Kluyveromyces lactis: one gene and its partners. The protein of the gene in region 7 interacts with the protein of the main gene of each other region in a pairwise test. Links are inferred from orthologs where the notes say so. Each region holds a gene or a part of one and is shown on either strand. Other genes may lie near its edges. The genes, in order: BNI4, SYN8, MHP1, YPI1, RPI1, BUD27 and GLC7.

Region 1 (4,224 bases), on a different chromosome or scaffold from region 7:
ATAACGATGCATATAGACAAACCTTACTGTTATCAAACACTCTTATTATCTTACAGGCCATATTTAAGCTAGTTTGGTATTACTGTTAGCTCATCGCATAAAGCAGCTCTTTTTTTATCATTTTCATAATGAGTGAAACAATTTTCAAAATTTGGGAGATGTTGAAGACAAGTTAGAATTATTTTCAAATAGTAGGGTAATATTACCAAAGCTTTCAAAGCGGGCTCAACACGAAAGCTACGTGCACGATTTGAATCCATATAAAGGGAAACATAGAAACGCATGGTAAATGATTTAACTACTATGATTACATGTATTTATAGGTCTACTAAAAGAAGTGAGTGTTGCACATAGAATCTTCGTGAATGTCCATTTCTGCTTTAAGCTCATTCAGCTCGTCCTTTATCATTTGGGCCAATTGAGGAGTAAGTTGATTGCATGTTGCCGAATCAGGATGCCTATCATACTCAAGTTCACCATAGGTCTCATAAAGGACTATTTGAGAGGAAAACTTAACAAGTTTTGCTGCATAGCTAGATCTTTCTTCCGATTTCTTCGACATCTGATCTGAGATATGTTCAAGTCCCGTAAGCCCTGAAAGTTCCATGGTACTGTTGAATTGTGGCGCTTTCAAACCCCTAAAAGACATCGATATAGGCCTGCTCATCGATGTTGTGATATCTGGTAAAAATGCGTTGATCTTTGGGGATTCTTTTACTGCATGTATGCCATTAAAATCTTCGTTCTCAAAATCTTCCTCATCATAATTATCAAAATATAAACTGCTATCAGAAAAAGTGTTTTGGTTGCTACTGCTAACATTTTCTGGTGATGTGTCTCTTGTTTTTATAGTACTTGATATGTGTTTCTGATCATCCAAACCAGTCTGTTTTTGGTTGAGTACTGAACTGTTTGTCTTAATTTCTGGGGAGTTAGTAAGTTCCACAAGAAATGAGTTTTCTGTCTCAGTATTGAAGCTGGGCTTGGATAGAGAGTTTTTCACAGATTCTTTGACCGGATTTAGAGTTTCATAGTGTGAACGATTGTCAGAATAGAGATCAAAATTTAACTCGATATCTTGTCCAAAGTCTATTATACTTGCAAATTCCATGATATCTGAGATTAATTCGTTGTCTTCATTATCTGAATCTTCAAGACTAGATTTAGTTGCCTTATTCTGCACCAATGGTTTTTCTAGTTGATCTTCTTGATCAGATTCCATTGTCAGCTCGTTTAACTTTTGCTCTATGGAACCAAAAGAAAAATCTCTCTGTTGTGGTGAAATTGTGAAACTTGCACTTCGAGTACCATGACTATTGTCCAAATCAGAACTGGCGGATATTTTTTCATCAGACGTAGTTTCAAACTTTCCGCTGCGCAGAATACTGCTCACCGGAGATTTCGTTAAATCCGGGGTTGCGAAAGATGTTCTTGTAGCTTCGGTAATGAACATTCCTTCCATTTTGGCATTGAGTGAAATGTGATCACTCAATGATCTGGTACGTAGAGAAGACATTGAGTTTCGTTGATTTGATTTCATAGATCTGGACCTTTCAAGAGAGACAATTGACTCAACCTCTGATACGTCGAGTGACTTTGGAAAAACATCTCTTGGGAATTTATCCTCTGTAGTTAATTCAGGCACATCTTTCACAAAATTTAGGGGCGTTGGCTTACGCTTTTGGAAGACCTTCTGTGGTCGTGTATTGTTCTTTGGAAGGATCTGGGATTCTGTATGTCGTTCCACGACCACATTATCACTCTTTTTAACAGCATTGCTGTCATTGTTCTTATTCTTCCTAAAGGTGGTGAAGATACTGCTGCTACTAAGTGACCTCTTAGTGCCAGGCCCTTTCAAGTCTTCATTAGATTGGCCTTTTTTTGACGCCAAACTAAAACTCTTCGATGTTGACATTTGTTTCTCCGTAGACTGCTTTGGCTTCCTCCAAAAATTGAGCAGGCTTCTTCTTCGTTTTGATTTGCTTGTATCAATATCTTGTCCACCCTTTACGTTAGAATCCAATCTTTGTAGTACTGGCGTATTCTTCTGGATTTCTAATGAAACAGTTTCCTGCATTAATGAAACTGTTGGCGTGAGAGGTTCATCAATATTTGGTTTTTGTTCTAGTATTAACGTGTGTGGGTCTTCGTCGGCACATTCATTTGCTGACTTGATGGTAGGAATAGTATACTGCGAATCGGTTTCATTGTCGCTCTTTAAGCTTCTAACTTCACTTTTAAAAGAATTTGAAGACTGATCGTTAATTAAAGGTTCGGCACTGTTTTCTTTGGTCTGTTGTTGAACTTTGGGAGTAGTTAAGAAATCAGGCTGTTCAACGGAAGGATTTAACGGTATTGGGTGTTTAAAAATGATTGCTTCGTCGTTATCTGCTAGATCTATCAAATTTGGGGAGCCAGATTCAGCAATATTTGAAGAATTCTGTTCCAAATTTCCCTCGGCGGGCTCTTCCGTTTCTTCTTTGATCGTGTCAGCTACAAAATTAGTTGATAGCTTTCTCACCATCATATCAGCTTGCTTCGTTTTTTCATTTAGAATACCGGCAAGTGCACTTAAGGAGGGTGATGATGTCATTTGTATTATGCCGGTTCGCTGTTCGTTTGAATTTAATGGAATGTTGCTGTTTATGGAGTTGATAGAGTTTGCAGAGGTGTCTCTAATTATTACCGAGTTTCTTAAAGATCTCGCATGCTGTAAGGTATTGATTTTTTGTCCAACGTAGAAGTTACTATCCACTTCATTGTTCATTTGTGGTTGAGGATCCACAACAGGTGTTGTCATCTCTTGTGCTTTAAAAGTGCTTTCTCTTGGAAATGAACCTATCCAACTTTCTTCTTCACTGCTAAAACTAATGATTGATTGATTCCTTATTGATCCTAGTATCACGAATGATTTAAAGAATTATATGAATCAGGTGCGATAAGGGTGCAAATGCGATTCCAAGCAGATTTCTTGTTTGAACGCTTTGGACCTTTGACAATCGTCTTACCTGTTCGATTCGGAACTATGTTTAGTATTGGAGACCCAATACTGATCGCGTATTAAAATCGATAGTGCTTTGATTTAGATTTTTTTTTCGAACTTTTGGTGAAGGCCACTACGCGATCCATAACCAATTCCAGTAAATAAAAAAAAAAAAATAGAAACAAAGAAGTGTTTGAAAAGTTTAGCATCACAGACATATCGATGGGCATAGACGGGAGAATAGATCTGTCACATTCATCGCAAACCTCTATGGTACTGTTCTAAAACTAAGTTCACTATTTGCAGAATTAGAATGTTTATATAATGACCCTGTTAGATTAGGGCTTTTGTGTTATATAGCAAAGTGTATGTGGAGACTACTATCTACATAATTATGCAGTCTTCTGATCCAGCAGGTCCTGACAGTGTAGTTGACTTGCCCTTATTCCTGCCTTTGAGTTTATTAGAGAAAAAGCTTCTATCGTTGATGTTAGCAGTAGAAGATTTCATTGGGGTGTTTTTGTTAGTGCTTAACGTCGGTGCTTGCAAGTGCTGGTTGACATTATTGTTGTTTTTCTTAGGATTGTGGGAAGAAACTGTTTGCAGTACCTGCGGTGTCTGAGATTCTAATGGTTCATTTATAGGAATCTTTGTTGTTGGTGTGTTTTCTATCAAATTAGGGACAGGTAAATGCAACTCACTTTCAACATAATCGACTTTTAGAATCGGATCAATTCCAAATTGTAAAATGCTGTTTGCCAAGTACGAATATAATCTAGCCCAGGTTTCTTCTAATTCAAATGTGCAGTATACACCAAACCTGTCTCTAATAGTTCGCAGAAGTGCAACCCCCATCAGTTCGAACTGAGGAGGGTGAATTCCCAAAACTCTAGCATGTCTTTTCCCCAAGTTATTCAGATAAGCTTCCATAGCAGTTAAATCCTCGAGGTTATTGATAGCCATTGTTAGTACTCCTGCGAAGGCAGTGTCTTGGTGTTTCAATGAAGGGAAAGCCTTTTCCAGGTCAGGATCCATAGATAAAAAATTGGAATAAAACTGAGCACAAAATAAAGAACTTGACATTGAGTTTGATATTGTTGCTGTTGTTATTGTTTGGGGCTTGGAAGTTGTCGTATTACTATTAGTGCTTGTCCCGGTTGTTATTCTTTTTAATTTCATTTTGCTTCCCGTTTCGAAGACACTAGAAGATTCAGGTTGTGATACAGACGAAGATCTGCTAG
Region 2 (2,641 bases), about 420 kb from region 7:
GACCGGTTCCTCACAACACCCGTCATGTGTATACGGGGCAGAACTTCAATAGCATGGAACAGCACAAGCAACAACAGCAAGTTAACCCTTATCTGCTGTCCAATAACGTCCAGCAGTCCTTTAACATCAACGATAACCAACAAAGCTATTACGGTAGAAGTATGAAAAATGGCAGTAGCAATAGCAGCAACAATTATAATACCAATAGTCTTGGAGGATCGCATACCATCAATAACAAATGGTAATATTCCGGTTTATTTTCCTTTTATTCAGAATAATATTATTAGCATTCAGATTCTCTACGTTGTTCGTTTCTTATTAATCACTATAAAGTTTTCCACTTAGTTGCTCGAAATGATATTAATTGTTGTGGAAAAGGGTTTTCATTGTTTCTGGTTATTTGAGCTTCAGTTCTAAGAATAGTATTTAATAGCATGTATCCTATTCATTCTAAAACACCATTTTAATTTAATATTTGTTCTCCAATACCATTCCGTATATCAAATTATAACTAAAAGGAATAGTATTATAGAAAGAATCACAATTAGGAAGCAAGGGCCTTTCTCACGAGCTGTTGCTTCGTAAGCATTAAGTCTTCTCCCAGCCCTTTGTAAATGACTTTCACTTCGATCTACTTGGCGCTCAATATCCGTTAAGAGATGTTCATTTTGCTGTTCTACCTCATCGTTAATCTCGATAGATATTCCTTGTGTCCTATTAATAGAACTTGACAGGTTTTCTAGATGGCTCTCTTGTTCCATCAATTGCTGCTGTTGTTGAATGAAAATATCCTGATTTGAAACTTGTGGAGAAATATTGTATTTTGGAGTTCCTGTCTCTTGATTTCCAAATAATTCCTTTCTCTTGACCTCCAATAAATCATCTACAACTGTAGATGAAGACTCATCATCTTTATATGGTTTAAACTTCTGTTCGGGTTCTTTATGCTCTTCAACTAATCCGTCTTTAAACCGTACCTTCTTTGTTTCTCTCAGATTAGGCTTTCTTTTGAATCTATAGAGTTCCTTGTCAATGACTGTTTCTGGCAAGCCTTCAATGATATCATTATAAGTTTTAATCTGATGATTAAATCTATCATCTTCAGAAAAGGGTACATCATCTTCATAATCTTTGAGCAAATCAAGTGTATGGTTTATATGTTTCTTAAGTTTTATGTTATCATTTTTAGATGGTTGCATGTGAAGGACATCCATTAACCTGTCTCTCTCATCCACAATCTCTATTAATTTATCGATTTCATATTCGACCTTCAAACCATTCATTTTTTTATATCTATCGTCCCTCTTTCTCTGTAGATAATACGCCTAACATTAAGCTTCGCATAGGTGTTGGCTGCGTTAGGTTACGAAATGCCACTTATTTTTAACACGAGCTGTCTCTTATGCCAACGAATCACATTTAAGGTTCTCCGGTATATAGCATAAAATATCGAATAGTCAAAGAATTAATAGGACAAAAGAGATTACCCGGAACAATAATTGACAGTAATTCCCCAGTTGAAGCACCAAGACCAATTGCAAGCCAAATCGGAGATACAACAAGTGTCTGTCTTATTGAAAAGTTGGATTATTTATCCATATGTACACTATACTATAATTGTTAAGGTTGTGCTCCATTATTGAGCATTTTGTTTCTTAAAAGCTATCGAACGCTTAGTAACTCTTCCTGTCTTTGATCTGTTCTTTGTTCTTTTTAGTACAGGGGTGGTTTCTCCCTTTGAAGCTCTTAAACCCTCAATTGTCAACTCTTCACCTAGCTTAGCCCTATCAGCCTTACCTAACACCTTCTTAGCTCTTCCCAGTTTTGTCCTTTGTTGGTCGTTTAATTTATTATTTTGTAGGGAAGATTGGTTTCCTTGGGCCTTTCTCATATTCTTGCATCTAGAAATTCTTAGCTTTCTGGCCTTCTTACCTTCATGGATCTTCTTTTCATGTAGTAGTAACGCTTTACTCACTGATTGGAAGTCCTTAAATTGAACGTATGCGAAACCTTTACCCATGTTCGTCTTTGAATCACGAATAATACGAACATATTCAATGTCACCACAAGGTTCAAAGTGCTTCCAGAGACTTTCTTCCACTTCTTCAAAATCCAAATTACCCACGAAGACTGATCTTCTCTTATCATGTGGGGAGGGGTGTGTAACCGAATCCACTCTCAAATGATGGTCGTTGAACACTTTACCGTTCAGATATTGGCACATAATCTTGACCGGATTGGAGCTCCCATATACGGCATATGCGTTGATCGAATCTCTAGATTTGTGAAGCTTTTGATGAACAAATGCAACTTTTCTTGGCAATGCTTCTTCGAATGCAATGGATCTGAATCTGATACTTTCCACATTAAACTTAACATCTTTTGTCTTACTTTCTTCTTCTTCTTCGTCTTCTTCTCCGTCATCGTGGTCATCATTCTCGCTACGGGGATCCTTGGAGAGAAGTTTCTTAAATTCTTTGTAAACTTTCTTTGATGTGATAACCTCATTTGGTACATTCCCAATAAAAATTGTTCTCTCAGCCTTGGCTAGTTCCTTTTCTTTCAAATTGATAACTTTAGCAGATTCAGATTCCGTGCCGGTAATCGAAGACTTATCGACTGCAGTTGCTTCATCTTCATT
Region 3 (4,156 bases), on a different chromosome or scaffold from region 7:
CAATAACAAATACAAACACTCGCTTTCGTCTTGCGCCTCTGTCAACTGCGGTACAATGCACATTAACATCACTATTGTCACACATGCAATGAATTTACCCTTATTTTCAATATCGAACAATTCATACCATATGGGCAGATACTGGTCAGGACCGCTCAATTCTCGAATGAAAAGTAACCGGCACCATCGAATACACCATACCGCATGCGAAATTTGGAACTTTACCACGATGATTTCGTACAACCTTCGAGGACTCATTTTTCGTAACATCGGACTAAAATCGTTCTTGATCCATTCATTTACACCGCTATCCCTATAAAACAAAGGATATAACCACTTCATCACGTTGTCAAACCTTTTATAACACTCATCTACGTCTTTGTCGTTCTCTAGGTATAGTACAAGGCATATCTCGTGCATTCCCTGTTTGTACCCTACCCCGTTTCTTTTCACCCAATTCACTAATATCTGCCTCAATGCATTCTCTTCTTGCGGTCCATTAAGCTGGCCTGAATGTAGCCTAGCTACATCCAATTCTATCATCTCTTGACTGTCCATCATACTTACGCCATTCACTATCGCTAAGGGGTGTTCATCGACATTTCCTACGTCATGGGCTTCCAACTTTTGAATACCGAAACGATTCCCATTGCTACTGGAATTCATACTATATCGTGGATATATTAGCACTTATCACCACAGGAAGGACCATAAAACGTTCACTTCCTCTTCCCTCAACCAATTGATCCCCCGACTTTACTACCGCAGTGGTAGGTATGTGATGCTGCTATTACTCTGCGTGTATGGTCTCAATTCAACCTTTTTTTTTTTCTCTACTAGTTTCACTATGTGCATCGAAACTTTTCAACGTGATTATATTTTAAAGGATTTCTCTATAAACAAAACATGAACTTTTCAAGTCTTCAAATAACTACATTCAATTTGAGGGGGAAGACAAAATAAAACCCGAACAAGCGTTCAAACGAGAAAGTAGTAGACAGAGAAAAAACAGTCTGCATTATTAAAGCACATACAAGCTAAATATATCGAAGGTGAAAGGTGTTATAAGTCGACGCTTTGCATTGCGCCATAGTATATTTTTTTATTATTCCGTGGAATTCAAATTAAGACGTGAGAACATTTAATCAGAGAAAATCCTCACCATTTTTTTTGGCTTTCGGATATTTCGATCAACTATTTGTTCTAATATAGTACACCACATCGTTCTCTCCAGATATAAATCCAAGATTGAGGGTCTAAGGGGCTAGCAGCAGCAAAAACAAAAAAGAAGTACACAGTTTTTGCTGATATCAAGTTACTCCTTTCCTTAAAAAAACTCTTTATATTCTCCGAACCATGGGTAAAGACGATAGTTGCGGGTTAGATGTAGGATGGTTGATTCGAAACAGGTGTTCTGATCATGACCATGGATCAAAGTCAAGCAAAAAGAGCAAGTCCGGTGGTGGTGCTATGGCTGCAGCCCTTGCTTCTTCCGATTCGCATGGTGCCAGGACTGGAACTCCCTCCCCGATATCTTCTACTGTCAAGATATCTGATTTGGATGCAAAAAATCCAGATGTAACAACGCACGTTGAAGTGATAGGTCCGAATAGGATTGTAAAACAGAGACGTAATTCTAGTGTTGATCCTAACAGTGCGATTGATATGTCTGGGATAAACGGTTATGATCATAAGATGGGACATGGAAAAACGCCGCAGAAACAAACGTCGTCATACCTAGAAAGTGCTCCTTTGAGAAGGACACAATCTGCATCGCTGCCCGAAATGACACATAAGAGGAAATCAGGGTTTTTCAAAAATTTATTCAAGAGGAAAAGTTCCTCTTCCAATGCAGAGAGTGCCTCACCACCTCCTGGATCACCATCTTTGAAACCTGTCAGTTCTAGCAGCAGTAGTAACAGCACAATAAGGTTGGATACAAATGGCGAAGCTGGATCGCATTATAGCCATCATGAAGGTAGAGCGAGAAGCAAATCAGTGTCATCAGCGTCGCTGCGGAATGCAAACCAGCAAAGGTTAGCCCAGAACGAAGGGTTAAATGATCTACACGTTGAAACGAAGTTTGAGCCGAGCGTCAGTAGAGTTGCGGAAGGAGTCCCTTTGGAAAGAGTTCAAACTGAATCACAGGCTTCACAACAGGATTTGGATCCTAGATTGGAAGAGTTCATCAAATATTACAAAGAACATGGTTGCAATGGTTTCTCATCTCAGCAGAATGGTGCTGCAAAGAAAGTAACCAAAGAACCCAACGCAATATTCTCTTTAGATTCTACTCTAGTCGGTAGTAGTAAAAATGGAAACAGTAATGGAAAAGTCCATTTAGATAAGAAGGGCAGACCAATACCGCCACATCCTCCTAGGTCTCGTTTACCACCTGCATTGAAGGTAAGATACGAGCCAGTTCCATCATCCTCTCGACCTGATTCGAGCCATACACCATTATCGGGTGCCAGCAAATTCGGTTCTTTCTTGAAAAGGGTCACTTCTCATACCGATGACTCCTTCGTATCAAGTAGAAGAATGTCTTCAGCGTCATCATCAATATCGTTACCCAGGGATGCAGATGAGTCATCTGTCGATTCTTCTGAAGGAACTATAAATACTTCGGTGGTTCCGGGATTGGAAAATCTCAAACCTTTGAAGCGCGTTGCGTTTGCTGCAAACACGTATTTCAATGATCCTCCTCAACAGATCTGTTCCAGGAACCCTAGGAAAGGTGAAGTTGAAGTAAAAGCAGATGGATCTGTTGTTATCCATAGGTTAACTCCCGAAGAGAAACGTGAAATACTGGAGAAGTCAAGTTGTGGTATTGTGGTAGGAGGAACTGGGCAATTGAAGTTAATCAACCAAGATGCACCAGCGACGTCTCCGGATCAAAATGAAGGCGCTGCATTAAAACTCCATGCTGAGGATGACCATGCGTCTCAACGTCGTCACATCGAACTTGCAGCAGCAGAAGCTGCGGCAGAGGCCAGAGCTAAAGATGCTCCACTAGATTTACAGAGAACTGTGACAAATAATGAAGAAGAGGTTGGTGTCAACAATACATTAGAGAAAGTTACCATTGACAAGCCAATGACATCAAGGAGAAAAGGTTCTAGCACATCATTGGCATCCATGATATCATCGGATTCTGCCTTGGTACCTTCTGAAGATGAAAACGAACTTCTACCACCCAGAAATATAAAGATCCCTCACGATGTTGTGTATACTCGTTGTTGTCATCTAAGGGAAATTCTTCCGATCCCTGCTACTATGAAGCAGTTGAAAAAGGGATCAACGGAACCGATACCGTTCCTACAATTAAGAAACCCCAAACCTTCTAAAGTAGAAGTGCTTTCTTTCAGTGATTTTTTGAGTATCGCTCCGGTGTTATGTCTATCTTTAGACGGTGTGTCATTGAGCGTGGAAATGTTGAGAATTATTTTGAGTTCCATCACATATAAGGATAAATTCGAAAAATTATCACTCAGAAACACTCCTGTAGATCATGACGGGTGGAAGGTCCTTTCATATTTCGTATCCAAATGCAAAAGCCTAAACTCGCTCGACGTTACCATGATTCCAGGATTAGCGCTTAATGTTCAAAAGCCATCTAAATCATCAAATGGCTCAACTGTTCCTAGAATGGTTTGCAATATGGAGAACAGATCTGATATGAACTGGAGTTTGCTTAGTGCGGCCGTGGCAGCTAAAGGTGGCTTAGAAGAAATGATCGTTTCAGGTGCCTTCATGAATCAAGTTCAACTACAAAACTTCATTGATATTGCTTGGACAAAGACATTAAGACTTGGCCTGGCCTACAATAACTTAACTTTAGAGCAATGTCAATGCCTTGCAACCTGGATGACTAACTCTAAAATACAAGGTGTTGATGTTGGTTACAATGATTTGAATGGAAAATTAGGACCGTTCATATCTGCCGTAATAGAGAAGACGAAGAAAGGAAAAAATGTGTTCAAATTCCTATCTCTTAACTCTACAAATCTTTCGGTTCCTAAAGGTGCAAAATCTGAGGATAACGAGGTTTTGAGTTTGCTCAATGGTCTTTGCTATTGTGATAGTTTGAAATTTTTAGATTTATCCAATAACCCAGGATTATTCCCATACGGTATGCGTACGTTGACAGCTATTT
Region 4 (2,308 bases), on a different chromosome or scaffold from region 7:
AGCACAAGAATTTACACATTTGGATGAGAATATATTAAAGAACATACCTAACCTGTTGATAATTACAATGCTATGCATTTCTAACATCATAAAGCAGTTGAACGAAAGTGATTACCAATCTTTGACTAAAAAGCAGCAAATCGATTCTCTCAAACGTGTTGCTAAAAATTGTATGATTTATGCTGGTATGATTCAATACAAAATGCCAAGAGAAACTTACAGCATATTAATCAATATAGAAGTTGGTTTGTAGCAGAGCTCTCATTTATGAGCACCTGAGTTATGTCAGAACCCAGACGTCCTACCATAATAGCATACAATAAAATAACCATGTGTAAGTCGATTGTTATTCGATATAATTGCCTGATAGATTATATATGCATATGTATATATATACATTTGAACTGCCAATTACCTTTTCAGCAGTGCATTGTTGTAGTGAGTAGAAGATGCAACGAAATGTACAAGAAGTGAAAGAGTATGCTGATCAAATTCCTAAATCATTGAGCGTCTTTTCTGTTCTTATCTCTATAAGCGCTGTAATCTGGCTGGACTTCGTATGCATTCGGACTTGGTGGACGTTTTTGCTCAAGCTTTTTTCTCCGCCTTTCGAGTCTTGCCTTTCTTCTTTCGTCAAAGCTTTTTCCCTCATCCTCGTCTGAAGAAGACGAAGATGATGAAGACGATGAATCATGTCCATGATTATGATCGTGCTCGCACTCTCCTTCCTCTTCTTCATCACTCTCTAATGGGGTATTAGGATGGAAAATGCAACAAATCTTAGTTTTCTTCTTGTTCATGTTCTCATTATCTATTACTTTCTCATCCCATCTTACTTTAGACTTGGTGTCCTTCTTCTTAGTTTTGTTTTTCTCATTCTGGCCAGCACGCAATTGAAGCAGCTGCGGAACCTCCGTAACAGTGACGGTATGCGTTCCTTCAGGAAGAGCAGAAGGTCCTTCACTCATATGTTAGGAAATATTTCAAAGTTTAATTATGATGATGGATCAAACTGATAAAAAAAGCGTGACGATAGGTAAAGTTTTCCTGTCTAAGTCTTGATAATCTTTCGTAATTTCACTTATCAAAGGACTGGGAACAAAGTATGAATAATGTAAGAAATCGTTTCCTATTTCTAAAATCTTCGGCGTCAATAAAACGGAATATTTTCTTCAACAAGTCGTGCTCTCGAGTATTTGACTGTACTAGACCATGGAGCTTCGCTTTGTATATGAGATATCCATGTATGCATAGAAGTACTCCAGTCTCATCTCATTTTTAAAGGGAAGAAAGAGGTTAAATATCTGAAGGTCAGAAAGTGGTGATGTTCGTTAATAATGACTACTAAATCCATAAGCCAAAAGAAAGATCGTAACTTTGTAATGCAGTGGCAAACAGTTTACAATTGATAAAGGTATAAGCAGATAATTCGTCAAGAATTCTCATCTCTGTACGTGTGGTATCCATAAGTCATTATTAGCAGTATTAGATACACAGTAATTGAAATCTACAAGACAATTGCATACTTCTCAGGAAAGAATAAGAATTTCAATTTGTTGGTACTTTATTAAGGAAGTATTATATCAAGAAACAGAACGCTGATACAAAAGCCAATTTATCGTCTCCGCAATTCAAATCCTTCAACAAAAGATGGAAAGTTTACAAAGAATGATGATGTCTCAAAGAGCAGGCATGATGGGTGCCAATGCCACCGAGGTTCCCCTTGATGACACCAAGGAAACTGTGTACATTTCTTCTCTTGCATTGTTGAAGATGTTGAAACATGGGAGAGCTGGTGTTCCAATGGAAGTCATGGGTCTTATGTTGGGAGAATTTGTTGATGATTATACAGTAAACGTTGTCGATGTGTTTGCCATGCCTCAGTCAGGTACAGGTGTTTCTGTCGAGGCTGTTGATGATGTTTTTCAAGCTAAGATGATGGATATGTTAAAACAAACAGGAAGAGATCAAATGGTTGTCGGATGGTACCATTCACATCCGGGTTTTGGTTGTTGGTTATCTTCAGTAGATGTGAATACTCAGAAATCATTTGAACAATTAAACAGCAGGGCTGTGGCGGTGGTTGTTGATCCTATTCAATCGGTGAAGGGTAAAGTGGTCATTGATGCATTCAGACTAATTGACCCTTCTACTGTCATGAGAAACCAGGAACCAAGGCAAAATACTTCTAATATCGGGTTGATCAACAAACCGAATATTCAAGCGTTGATTCATGGTCTAAATAGGCATTATTACTCGCTTAATATCGATTATCACAAGACTTCCGCCGAAATGAACATGTTAATGA
Region 5 (3,971 bases), about 750 kb from region 7:
GTATATAATTAAGCGCACTCTCTCAACATAAATAAAACACCGTAGCAAGTTAATCAATAGAAGCATTAAGCGCTGAGCGAGAGATCTACGCAGATGGATAAAACCAAGAAAAATTGTTGTTCTTCTAATTAATACTATTTACGTAGTGAAAAAAAAATATATATGCTGGTAGAGTGGTATTTTTAAGTTTAACCTCAATAAAAAAAATGAACTCCGAATATACCTAAGAGCACTTGAGCGATCACTCAGAATCAGAATCAGATCCAAATAAAAAGCTACCCGATGAAGGAGATTTTAATGGTGGTCTTCTTACCGTCGAATTGTGTTGAGATAAAGGTTCTCCAGTGATGAAGCTATGTGTCTGTTTTAAAACAGGAGATGCAGAATTGGAAGGTGTGATAAAATCATGAATGGAATTTGCTCTAGACTTCCCTATAGATGAGGTTCGCCTTAATGATAGTGGGTCTTTTGCAGTAAGCTCTAGTTCTTCACCGTTATCGTCATGCTCTTCGTCATCATGACTGAAACCAGGTTGGGAAGAATCTGCGATGAATTCGTTGTCCGGATGTTCATCGTTATCATCTTGTACCGGAAGGCTTTGATGGTATGTATATATTTTCCCTCTTGAGTCATCATCCATATATCCGTCATTCGCGTCCTGTATTGGAGTATCTAATCCAATGCCATCCGGTACATCGAGGATATCACACGAATTGTCCACAGTTACAAAGTTGGATGTATCCCCCGTGTAAACGGAATTATAATCATACATGTAGTCAAATCCTCTGCTAGTATTCACATTGTGTGATACTGCGTTACCATAATACCATTCATTTTCGTCTTCATCATAATATTCATCGTCAGATCCGTAGTTTAGAGTAGTGGCTGGAAGTGGTTTAATAGTTGCGTTTGGAAATTTGGATAGTGAGAGTGATCTTAAAGAATTTGCAACATCTGTGCCATCACTAGCCCCCGAATTGGTTCGATTTTTTCTAGTATGTGCACTGATAAATAACCCATCATCTTCGTCATCTTCGTCGTCATCTTCATCATAATCGTAGCTGTCAGCGTCTTCATCATCTTCGTCATCGGCGTAATCTTCGACGCTGTTGGCCCCTGAATTTCTATATCCATCGTCAAAGTCAGAATACTGATGCGAAGATCTGGCACCGTCCGACATATCGTCAGAGTGGTAATCGGTATTTGTCATTGGGACTTCGTCATCATTAGGATTAGCGTCTATGGGGTTATGATTAACCGCAATACATTGTTCGACACGGTCATTGAAATGAATATGTCTTTCCCTTTTTTGCTTTTGCTTCATCGATGATGTAAGAATCGATGATAATATGGGAGGATCAGATCTTGCGGATGGGGTTTCTATCACAGAGCCAGAGATTGGACCTGGAGTGGTATTTACTATCGACGAGTTTGTTTCGGTCACAACGGGCGAAATAGATTCCACCGATTCATCAGGCGGTGTATGGATATTTTTGTAATATTGTGCATTCACCTTCGCGGCAATAGCATCATAATCGTCATGCGTTGTCTGACTTGACTGCGGATCCAAAATAGCATGCAAGTCACTAGTTTGCTTTCTGTGCTGCCTTGCTATATCTAATCTCCATTTGGAGTTTTCCTCGATAATTTCACTAACAGTTCTCTTCTTTAGAATAGGTTTAGGACCGGGACTCTGAGACTTTTGGATCAACCTTTTTGAATTTTCATCATCGGAACCATACCCCATGGTGGCCGCATGATTGTTTCCTATTTCAACGTTGGAAGTGGGCTTTGATGACGACGTCGAGTTATTTTGATCGCCCACTACAATCGGACCGTATAACCAAGTTACATCAGAATCCTTTGACCAGTTCAAAGATTCTGGATTCACAGTTTTCAGATTATTTCTAGCCTTTGACCAAGTTCTCCAGGAAGCATTTTCCAACCTTGCAGCATTGATTAAATCTGTGTCCTTCCGTTTCTTTTTCAAAATGATATAACGCCATGACTGAGATATTTCGTTTTCGTTCCATTTATGAGATAAGTAATCCACATGTCTATTGGGTTCATACATCAAGTCGTTGTCATCATGATGAATTAGGAAATCGTCAGTACCCGGGTCTGGAGGAGAATTAGAATCTTCTACATCTTTGTAGTCGTAGTCGTAATCGTAATCTGCTTCGTAGTCATCGTCGTAGTTATCGACTTGCATGTTTTCGTCTGTGTAGTCTTCGTCGGTTCCGCCAACAGTTGTATTGTGTTTATTCAGCCCGGTGTCATTAAGCGTAGTATCATTACCGTCGTTATCGTCATTATAAGAAGTATTATTACTGTTTTTATTGATATTATCAGTTTTGTTTTCGTTGTCGTTGTTGTTGTTGTTGTTGTTGTTGTTGTTGTTGTTGTTGTTGTTGTTAATATTATTCATGCTCCCGCTACTGTCACCACTATTGAGGTCGTTACTCAAGCCATCGATGTTACTGTTAGAGAAGTTATCGGAATCAACAGAGCTCGAACCTGCCAGAAGTTTCTGAGTATCGTCGATGTATGGATCCAACAGTCCCATGGATCGTGTTCTTTTCAAATTGAACGTAGAATTCTTGAAATGGTCGTCGTCATCAGCATGAACCGCCATAGACACAGAAGGACCCATATCGTCGTAATTTGGGACTTGTTTATTTACACTGCTTGTTCCGTATTCATCATTCGATGAGCTTCTGTTCAATGCGACTCTACCCGGGGTAGCATTCCCCTGAGAAGCATTCCCCTGAGCAAAATACGCCGCTAAATTATTCTGCATAATGCAAAGCGTGCTGTGTTTATCTGGTAAAACCTTCTGAATATTATACTCTGCTGTCTTGTTCAACCGCGTGTGTATCACGCAGTAAAAAAGCTAGGTTGAATTATATCAAGTAAGCTCTGCTTGGATGGTAGAAGGTGATTCCTGCGATCCAAAAAAATTAATGGAATAATAAAATAAAATAAAACTGAGAACCAGACAACGAAAGAAGCCTAGGGTATCAAGCGTTATCAGACGCTATCCTTCAGTCCAACAGTAGTATAGTGAGAAATCTGATTTTGCCTAATGAAAGTAGACCAAATAGAAAAATCACACTATCGTTTAACTCTCCTTTATACCACAAATCGCTTCAGGAAAAATAAAGGACTCTCTCTCTGTTAAAGCAGATTGTAACTATCACTGAAAATGCTTAGCACAAAACAAAAATCGTCGAACGAGGCAATCAGAATACACACTTAAACCTGCTCTTCTTCCTATTCCCCCAAACCTTTACATTCTATATGTTCTATATGTTCTATATGTTCTTTGTTCTTTTTAAAAAGTGGATTTGAAAGCTCAAACCAAAGTCCAAAAGAAAAGGAAACCAAACTAAATTCCCAAAAAGAAAAACGAAAACAGAATAATGAGTACCGCTTGCCAGTATTGTTCAATAGAAAAGATCGAAAAGGAGGCAAAATTTGTCTATGACGCTTTGGTGCTTACGTCTTACAACAGACCGTGTTTAGACATGTAAGTAAAGTTACAGGGTAATAGAGTATAAACCGATCCTAGTATGGCGGACGCTATATTCTGTTGTGTTTGAATTTATTAATTTACTGAGGAAATACAACTCCTAGCTTTTTTTAATGGAGCTGGTTTCCAAGTTAATTATTCATTTCAATTTTTGGAAATTCTAACTTCCCAAGTTATACATGTATAGCGAGAAAAGAAAATCGCACGGTAGCGGAGCGTTTTGAGTTTGTCGAAGATGAAACGGGAACTGGAACATTTCAGTTGGCCCAGGGGCCAACTAAATTTCAAGGGATTATCCGTTGTTTAGCAGGACAAATTTTTTTTTTTTTTTGTTCATTTTTGTCACTTTGGTCAGTTCTGGATTTTACATGAGTTCTACCTTGATCTATACCATACACTGATTCAGTCAATAGTGGTGTCATCGATTCTTGTCATATGT
Region 6 (3,857 bases), about 1.2 Mb from region 7:
GCTCTCTGATATCAAACTGTTAGTATGCGTACCAGAGGGAGCAAGCAACTGTCCGCTAGGAAACGAACCAATGACAGTGATTTCGTTTTGTAAAGCTGTTCAGTTTTTGATATACAGGAATAATCACGTGATGTGACTGATTGTGGAGTTTTTCGATTTTCTGTATAAAATAAACTTCAGACCTGTCTTAAACACGCTGCGTTATTTTCTGTAGTTCGAGACAAGGTTTTTATTCCTCAGTTACAGAAGAAAATGTAGATAACCAAGAATCAGGAACGGGCTGCTGAGTGTCACGTTTTTTTTTTTTTTTTGGCTATTTCAATGTAACTGTGTAAAAATGTTCAAAATGGAACTTCTTTCCGCCCAAAAAATGTGTTAAGAAGGTCCGAGCACCTTTTCATTGAGAGGCACCAATTGTGGTAAACTTCTCTAAAAGTAATCCAGAACTATCAACTCATATCACGTGCAAAGTTTTTACAGAAATATCTACATACCAGATATTATGGATGCTGTTGAGATAGATGATGTTTCTTCAAAGCAAGCGTTTGTGCTTTGAAGCGGCTGGTCGTGACCGGGTTACCAAATTCATCAATCGGTTCTTTACCTAACTCTTCATTTAACTCAAGTTCCATGGTGTGCTCGGTGTTTGAGGATGATGAGGTGGATGCGACCGCGAATCTTTCAATATTTCGACGACGATGTTCCATATATTCTCGCTCAACTTCTGCGTATATGATTTGATCCTCAACGTCTTGTACTGGCTGTTCTCCAGCGCCCGTTGGATCCCTTTCTTTAATTTCGTTAATAATAGTGCTCTCGTTATTCTGTGATGATTCTGCACTTTGTGGCAGTTCAATGTCATATTCATAGCTTGCATTCTCCTTCAAGAACTGATTTAATTCAGGCTTCAAAGTTTCTACCATCTTGTTATAAGCCTCAAAGTCAGAAGTGTCTTGCAATACTGTGCCAGGATCTTCTACATCGTCATCGTATAATCCTAGGAGATATGCTCTTGCCATGTCATCAAGGTTGTCCAATTGTGCAAAGTCGATTCTTGGCTGGACATGAATTTCATTAGACTTTTGCGCAGGGAAATGAGGCTCAACTAGTTCTTGCTTCTCCTTCATGACTTCCGCAATTGACGAGTTGTTTTGTTCGCCCTCAGCACCGCTGTCATCTTTGTTCATTTCTTCAGTGGGAATTATTGATGGTGTCTTAGTTGGCAGCGATTTTGGTTTTTGTAAGGACTTCATCTTCTTATGAATAAAGTTTGGCGAACCAGTTTTAATCGGAGTATTTTCAACTGAAATCGATGATGTGTCGTCACGCTCAACTATGTCGGTTACCACAGCCTCTACAATTGGTTCCTTTTCAAACATTTCAACATCATTAGTATTAAACTCGCGTTTTTCCGTGGCGGCTTTTTCCTTTTTAAACCTTGAGATACGCTTCTTTCGAGGTGCGGCGAGTGCTGGCTCTTCAGATTCCTTCAAGCCGTTGATGCTACCAGGTTGGTACTTTTCATGCAATACGTCGGCTTCCTTGGCTCCGATCATCTGCGCGAACAAATCGGGGTCAAATTCAACATCTTCTCCGTCAGATGCGATGATTTCTGACTCCATATAGCTGTTTCTAGGGAAATTAAATGTGTTAGATTTGGTTTCCTGTTTCACATTTTCCACTTCAAAGACGTCTAGCTTTGGCGCAAAGTTGACACTTTTCTTCTTCGAACCGCCTTTCTTAAGTATGGACTTAGCTTCTTGCTCAGGGGAATGATTACGATATTCTGTATGTACGAGATCATGTTTTTTGTTGGCCCTCAAAGCCTGTATTTGTTCCATAAAGGAATGCTGAACTCTTTCAGGAACTATGGAGACGGAATAATCTTCATCTTCCTCATTATCGTCGCTTTCTTCATCATACCCATCAAAATCGTATTCTACGTCATTTACGTCGATTTCGCCATCTTCATAATTATCCAATTTATCTAACTGATCTACCAAATCATCGAATGTGTACATGTTTTCCTTTGCTATTTGCATGGTACTCTTGTCTGCTTCCATGATTTCTCCTGTCTTATTGCCAGTTTCCGAAGTTCCTGAAGCGGAAGAGCGATCATCATTCTGAATATTGAAGGCAGTCTCTGGTGAAAGACAATTTTGACGTTCCTGACTCAGTGACAATTGTTGTTCATCACTATGGACTTCATTACCTTTGCCCGAATGCACCTTATTGGCGGGCGTCATTGAAGCATGTATCACATTTCCGTCTTCGTCTAATTCTTCTCTGATCTCAAAGAAACCTTCCTGGTCATCATCATTGTTAGAAACATTCGTATCTCCCAAAGATTTTGCACCGTCTCGAAGTAACTCCATGTTTCGCAATGTGCCATGTGCCTCTTTCAGTTTCTCATCAAATTGTGAAATGGCTTCGGCAATTAAGTTCAATCGAACCTTTATAAAAACCAGGCATTCTTCCCTAGATTTCTCCAAATAGTAATCGTAACCTATATTTTGGAAAAACTTACCATTCTGAAATACTACCTCACCATACTGCCATTCTTCTTCCGAATCTTCGCTCGTGTCAGCATCTCTTATCCTATCGAATATCTGTTCATACAACGGCTGCTGTTCCTTTAAGAAGGTTCTTTTGTTTACCAAATTATCTATGGTACCTTTGACAGTATCCATTAACTCGGCAAAAGAAGCCCCACCTTCTGCTGTTTCCATTGCGTTTCACGACTAAGACTGATTTTCTCAGCCTCTTTACCTGCCTCAGATAACTCACTCTTTCAACAAGCGATGAGATGACTTCATTACGGATGTCAAGTTACTGATTTCCGTTTTTTTTTCTTTTTGGTAGAAGCTCATACAATTTTTGGCATCACCATTTACCTTGACCCAATGGAAGTCACGTGAACAGAAATTCCTATTGTCTACCAAGGTGGTTATGGGAGACGTTCATATTTCCGTAGAAGACGTAAAAAATTTTTTTTTCTTTCCATAAGTTCGGATTTCAATATAGAAAAAACCAATACCCCCATTCACCGGACAAACTGTTGCGTTCCACCCAAACAACCAACATAAAAAGGAAAACCACGCGCTTCAGAACAGTCCGGTGGCTCGTTCAAACCTACTGAGAATCAACCATCAGTAGTGATACTTAAGGACTTTCATCAGTTCTGCAAAATCCGTACCAATAGCTGCTATCTTCAGTCCTATTTTAGATTTGGTCTCCTTGTTTTCTGCCTCCTTCACCGCCACCCGATTGCTTGCCAGTGAAGTTTTTCGCAAAATTTGGCCCCGAAAACAGGAAGAAAATAAATTTGGGCCCCCGTAAAAGAACCAATTTTTTAGAGGGATAATTGTAGTTACCCTTCCTTTCATATTTCTCGCTATTGAAATCTGGAATTCAAAGATCCTTCTTTGGCTTCAGCCGCATAGCTATCAGGGTAACTACACACGGGCATTGACACATTGCAGTATGCCAGCTCCTGCAGTGGATTCATCGAGGTTCAGGCACAGAAAGATCAGCGTGAAGCAACGACTTCGGATCTATAAGAGCCATGAAATTAAGGATTTGGAACAAGAAGATGTTTCGGCCATCAGTTCCCAGCATCAACAGCGAGAGCTGATGGAGATTGAAACTGGTGTGGAGAAGAATGAAGAAAAGGAAGAGCATTTATACAAAATTCTTCAATCCAATCAGCTTCGAGAGAACAAGAAGGATCTATTTATTCCAACACCAGACGCCTCGAAAACTTGGGACGAGTTTGACAGATTTTACCAAGGTGAATTCAAATGTCCTACGAGTTATATCCAGTTTTCTGCACAATTAGAAGATTGCTGTGGTACTTT
Region 7 (2,862 bases):
TGCTAAAAAACACGATGTGTCTACAGCACTATGTTAACGTACGTGTTATTGGTTTAGTCGATTGATGTATGGAAAAAGGCTCAACGGCTAATCTACAGAATTTTCCTTTGCAATATGTAGAATATATATATATATGTATATATCACTGCGTATATATATACTAATAACATGAATGATGGGATATGTGTAAAAGGGTGATAAGAGAGTAAAGTGGAGATAAAGGTTTGAAATTGAAATTGTAGCAGCCCGCTTGACATTCGACAAAGAAATTATGTTACAATATATTAGAAAGGTATAAAGGAAAACGTTCTAGCTCAGCAAGTTTTTCCAGTAATATATCTTATACTTTATGTTTGAATTTAATAGTTTATTTTTTTCTGGTTTTTTCATTGGGGATTTTCTTTGAGATGGGATTCGTTGTTTAAAGGGGGGGGAGAGATGAGGATGATGATGATGATGATGATGATGATGATGATTAAGAAGGTTTAAATTTAAATTCATCATTTCTTTCTTCTCACTACGTTTCGTTCCAATAACTTAGAAGCTGGTTTCAAGATTTGGAACGAACATAATAAACTTTCATCAACAGACATCATAGCACCAGCGTTATCGAACTCACCACAGTAGTTTGGAGCACTGAACAATGTTACCAATTGTCTTTTACTGAAAAACTCGTATCCGTCTTCGACGACTTGATGTGCTCTACAGATCAATTCCATATCTTGTTTTTGTAAAAACCTACTCACTACGTCAGGACCAAAAGTGAACGAGACACCTCTATCGTTTTCTGACCATCCAACGATATCTTTATCCGGATCGGACCATAACAAATCGCATAATAACCCCACGTCTGGGATATCGGTGGGTCTCATCACACGTCTGATTTGTTCCATGGTATTTAAATCTGGGGATAATCCACCATGCATACAAAAGATTTTTTCATCGACAATCGCAGCGATAGGCAAACAGTTGAAACAATCCGTAAAAGTTTTCCAAAGCTTAATGTTATAACGTCTCTTACATTCGTCGTAAAACCCGTAAATTCTATTGATCGATGCACATTCGTGATTACCACGCAAGATAAAGAAATTCTCCGGATACTTGATCTTGTAAGCCAACAGTAAACAAATGGTTTCTAGCGATTGTTTACCACGATCCACATAATCACCTAAAAACAGATAGTTGGATTCTGGTGGGAACCCACCGTATTCGAAAAGACGTAACAAATCATAATATTGACCGTGGATATCACCACAAATCTTAATTGGTGCCTCCAATTCCAATAGGATTGGCTGCTTGATGAAAATAGATCTGGCCTTGGAACATAAATACCTAATCTCGTGTTCTTCCAAGTCAACCTGATGGCCAGGTTTCAACCCTCTCACTTCCAACAATCTATCAATGATATCGTCAACGTCTACTGATTGTTGATCCATTTTTCTTATTTTATTCCTTGTTCCTTTGTTTTATAATTATCGCGGTACTATATCAAACGTTCTTAATAATTGAAGTAACCGATGGCAACTGTGATGCTTCCGTGTCTTGGATTATCCAAAAGTATTGGTTCTTATTAATCCTTATTTTTTTTTCCTAACGAAGCAAACAGATTATAGAATATAGCCCGCAACTTTAAAAGATAAAAAAAGGTACTAGTAGAAATTACCCTGGTTTGAAGATGCAATATTGTCTCACTTCCAATTTCTACAAACAAACAGACCCTGCTGTATTCTTTCTAACCTTCGTATGAACGTAAGTCTCTCAATCTCTTATGTTTTATAATTATCTTTCTTTAATAATATTAATTTTTTTTTTTAATCAATTGATTGAAAGAAAAAATAATAGAAAAACACACACAGAGTTTTAAAGGAAAAAAAATAGAATTAGAAAATAACCCGAAAAACGAGATCTACACCGTTTCGTATTGTGTTCAAACCTGTCGCCAATAACCACACACTGACCTGACTCGAGCTGGCGCCAATACTGATGATCTTCCCGGAAACAAATGGGAAGGAAAACACTGAAAATACCGTGTTTTCCCAATGAATAAAACACAAGTTGTAAGTAATGCCAAAAAGCGTTACCGAAAGTTTTCAATTCTCAATTTTCACTTTTGTTCTCCTTCATATGGGAAAAAAAGAAAAGAAGTCGCAGTGTCAGCTTGGTATCGCTTCGCATTGGACTGGAAAACCAACTGGGGCTAGGGATGGGGCTAGTGCCCAGTGTTGCCTTGCCAAGTGTCGTATATGTACTATTTAGTTATGGAATGGGTTGTGTTCTGTTTTTGTTTGTGAGCGGGAGGGTGCTAGGTATTTCAGAGATGTCGGGTTTCGATGGCAAAGATGCTACTACTACTGCTACTGCTGCTGCGCAGCAGCAGTAGCAGTGTCTATATTCTGCCTAGCATTTCGCACCGCAGCTCGCGCACGCAGCCTCTGACATTTACGTCCCTTGCCTTCTTTGCCTACTTCTCTTCTTCTCTTCTCTTCTCTTCTCTTCTTCTCTTTCCACTCGTTTACCATATTTATTATTAGAATCAAGATGTAAAGAGCTGGCAGGCTGCAGTTCGTTACATTCTCCATTAGGGATACATGAAAAAATACATATAGTAAATAAAACAAGGGCGTACAATAAGCTACCGCACCTTGCTATTTCGGGCAACACCAAGGCATAGAATCCGTTGGTTTGGATGTGTTCTCACTTCGTTGGTTCTGCCCTACCCGATAAGTTAGAGAAATGATGTATAGTGATGATATAGGGGAGACCAAAATGAGGGAAAGAGGGAAATCGTTATGAACGAAACCAGGGTAACAATGAGCGATGACCACGTCTCCCAAGGTTGTCGTTTTAGGATATTGAACCAGG

What was found.
Region 1: the proteins of GLC7 (region 7) and BNI4 interact in binary tests that used the Saccharomyces cerevisiae proteins (3 or more experiments, as listed by UniProt). The link is inferred for Kluyveromyces lactis from reciprocal best matches to the Saccharomyces cerevisiae genes GLC7 and BNI4.
Region 2: the proteins of GLC7 (region 7) and SYN8 interact in a two-hybrid assay, tested with the Saccharomyces cerevisiae proteins (2 studies listed by BioGRID). The link is inferred for Kluyveromyces lactis from reciprocal best matches to the Saccharomyces cerevisiae genes GLC7 and SYN8.
Region 3: the proteins of GLC7 (region 7) and MHP1 interact in binary tests that used the Saccharomyces cerevisiae proteins (3 or more experiments, as listed by UniProt). The link is inferred for Kluyveromyces lactis from reciprocal best matches to the Saccharomyces cerevisiae genes GLC7 and MHP1.
Region 4: the proteins of GLC7 (region 7) and YPI1 interact in a two-hybrid assay, tested with the Saccharomyces cerevisiae proteins (2 studies listed by BioGRID). The link is inferred for Kluyveromyces lactis from reciprocal best matches to the Saccharomyces cerevisiae genes GLC7 and YPI1.
Region 5: the proteins of GLC7 (region 7) and RPI1 interact in binary tests that used the Saccharomyces cerevisiae proteins (3 or more experiments, as listed by UniProt). The link is inferred for Kluyveromyces lactis from reciprocal best matches to the Saccharomyces cerevisiae genes GLC7 and REG1.
Region 6: the proteins of GLC7 (region 7) and BUD27 interact in a two-hybrid assay, tested with the Saccharomyces cerevisiae proteins (2 studies listed by BioGRID). The link is inferred for Kluyveromyces lactis from reciprocal best matches to the Saccharomyces cerevisiae genes GLC7 and BUD27.

The regions. Positions count from the first base shown.
Region 1 is NC_006040.1:1,661,001-1,665,224, forward strand, and holds BNI4 (Bni4p), read right to left. Parts: upstream 2,801-4,224; coding exon 329-2,800; downstream 1-328. Other genes in the region: exosome non-catalytic core subunit CSL4, read right to left, coding at 1-12; KLLA0_D19745g (uncharacterized protein), read right to left, coding at 3,368-4,224.
Region 2 is NC_006042.1:733,253-735,893, forward strand, and holds SYN8 (syntaxin), read right to left. Parts: upstream 1,284-2,641; coding exon 501-1,283; downstream 1-500. Other genes in the region: KLLA0_F07755g (uncharacterized protein), read left to right, coding at 1-245; rRNA-processing protein NOP12, read right to left, coding at 1,637-2,641.
Region 3 is NC_006041.1:1,045,586-1,049,741, reverse strand, and holds the start of MHP1 (Mhp1p), read left to right. Parts: upstream 1-1,356; coding exon 1,357-4,156. Other genes in the region: GTPase-activating protein GYP6, read right to left, coding at 1-666. UniProt on the Saccharomyces cerevisiae protein: Essential for the formation and/or stabilization of microtubules. Binds to microtubules in vitro.
Region 4 is NC_006041.1:1,252,158-1,254,465, reverse strand, and holds YPI1 (type 1 protein phosphatase-activating protein YPI1), read right to left. Parts: upstream 969-2,308; coding exon 501-968; downstream 1-500. Other genes in the region: linker nucleoporin NIC96, read left to right, coding at 1-253; proteasome regulatory particle lid subunit RPN11, read left to right, coding at 1,651-2,308.
Region 5 is NC_006042.1:411,989-415,959, reverse strand, and holds RPI1 (protein phosphatase regulator REG1), read right to left. Parts: upstream 2,801-3,971; coding exon 242-2,800; downstream 1-241. UniProt on the Saccharomyces cerevisiae protein: Involved in RNA processing and negative regulation of glucose repression. Regulates the level of two antigens, P43 and P70. Binds to protein phosphatase type 1. Functions with REG2 and SNF1 protein kinase to regulate growth.
Region 6 is NC_006042.1:2,340,258-2,344,114, reverse strand, and holds BUD27 (prefoldin-like protein), read right to left. Parts: upstream 2,730-3,857; coding exon 501-2,729; downstream 1-500. Other genes in the region: EPL1 (Epl1p), read left to right, coding at 3,484-3,857. UniProt on the Saccharomyces cerevisiae protein: Involved in gene expression controlled by TOR kinase and nutrient signaling. May also be involved in positioning the proximal bud pole signal.
Region 7 is NC_006042.1:1,158,120-1,160,981, reverse strand, and holds GLC7 (type 1 serine/threonine-protein phosphatase catalytic subunit GLC7), read right to left. Parts: upstream 1,437-2,862; coding exon 501-1,436; downstream 1-500.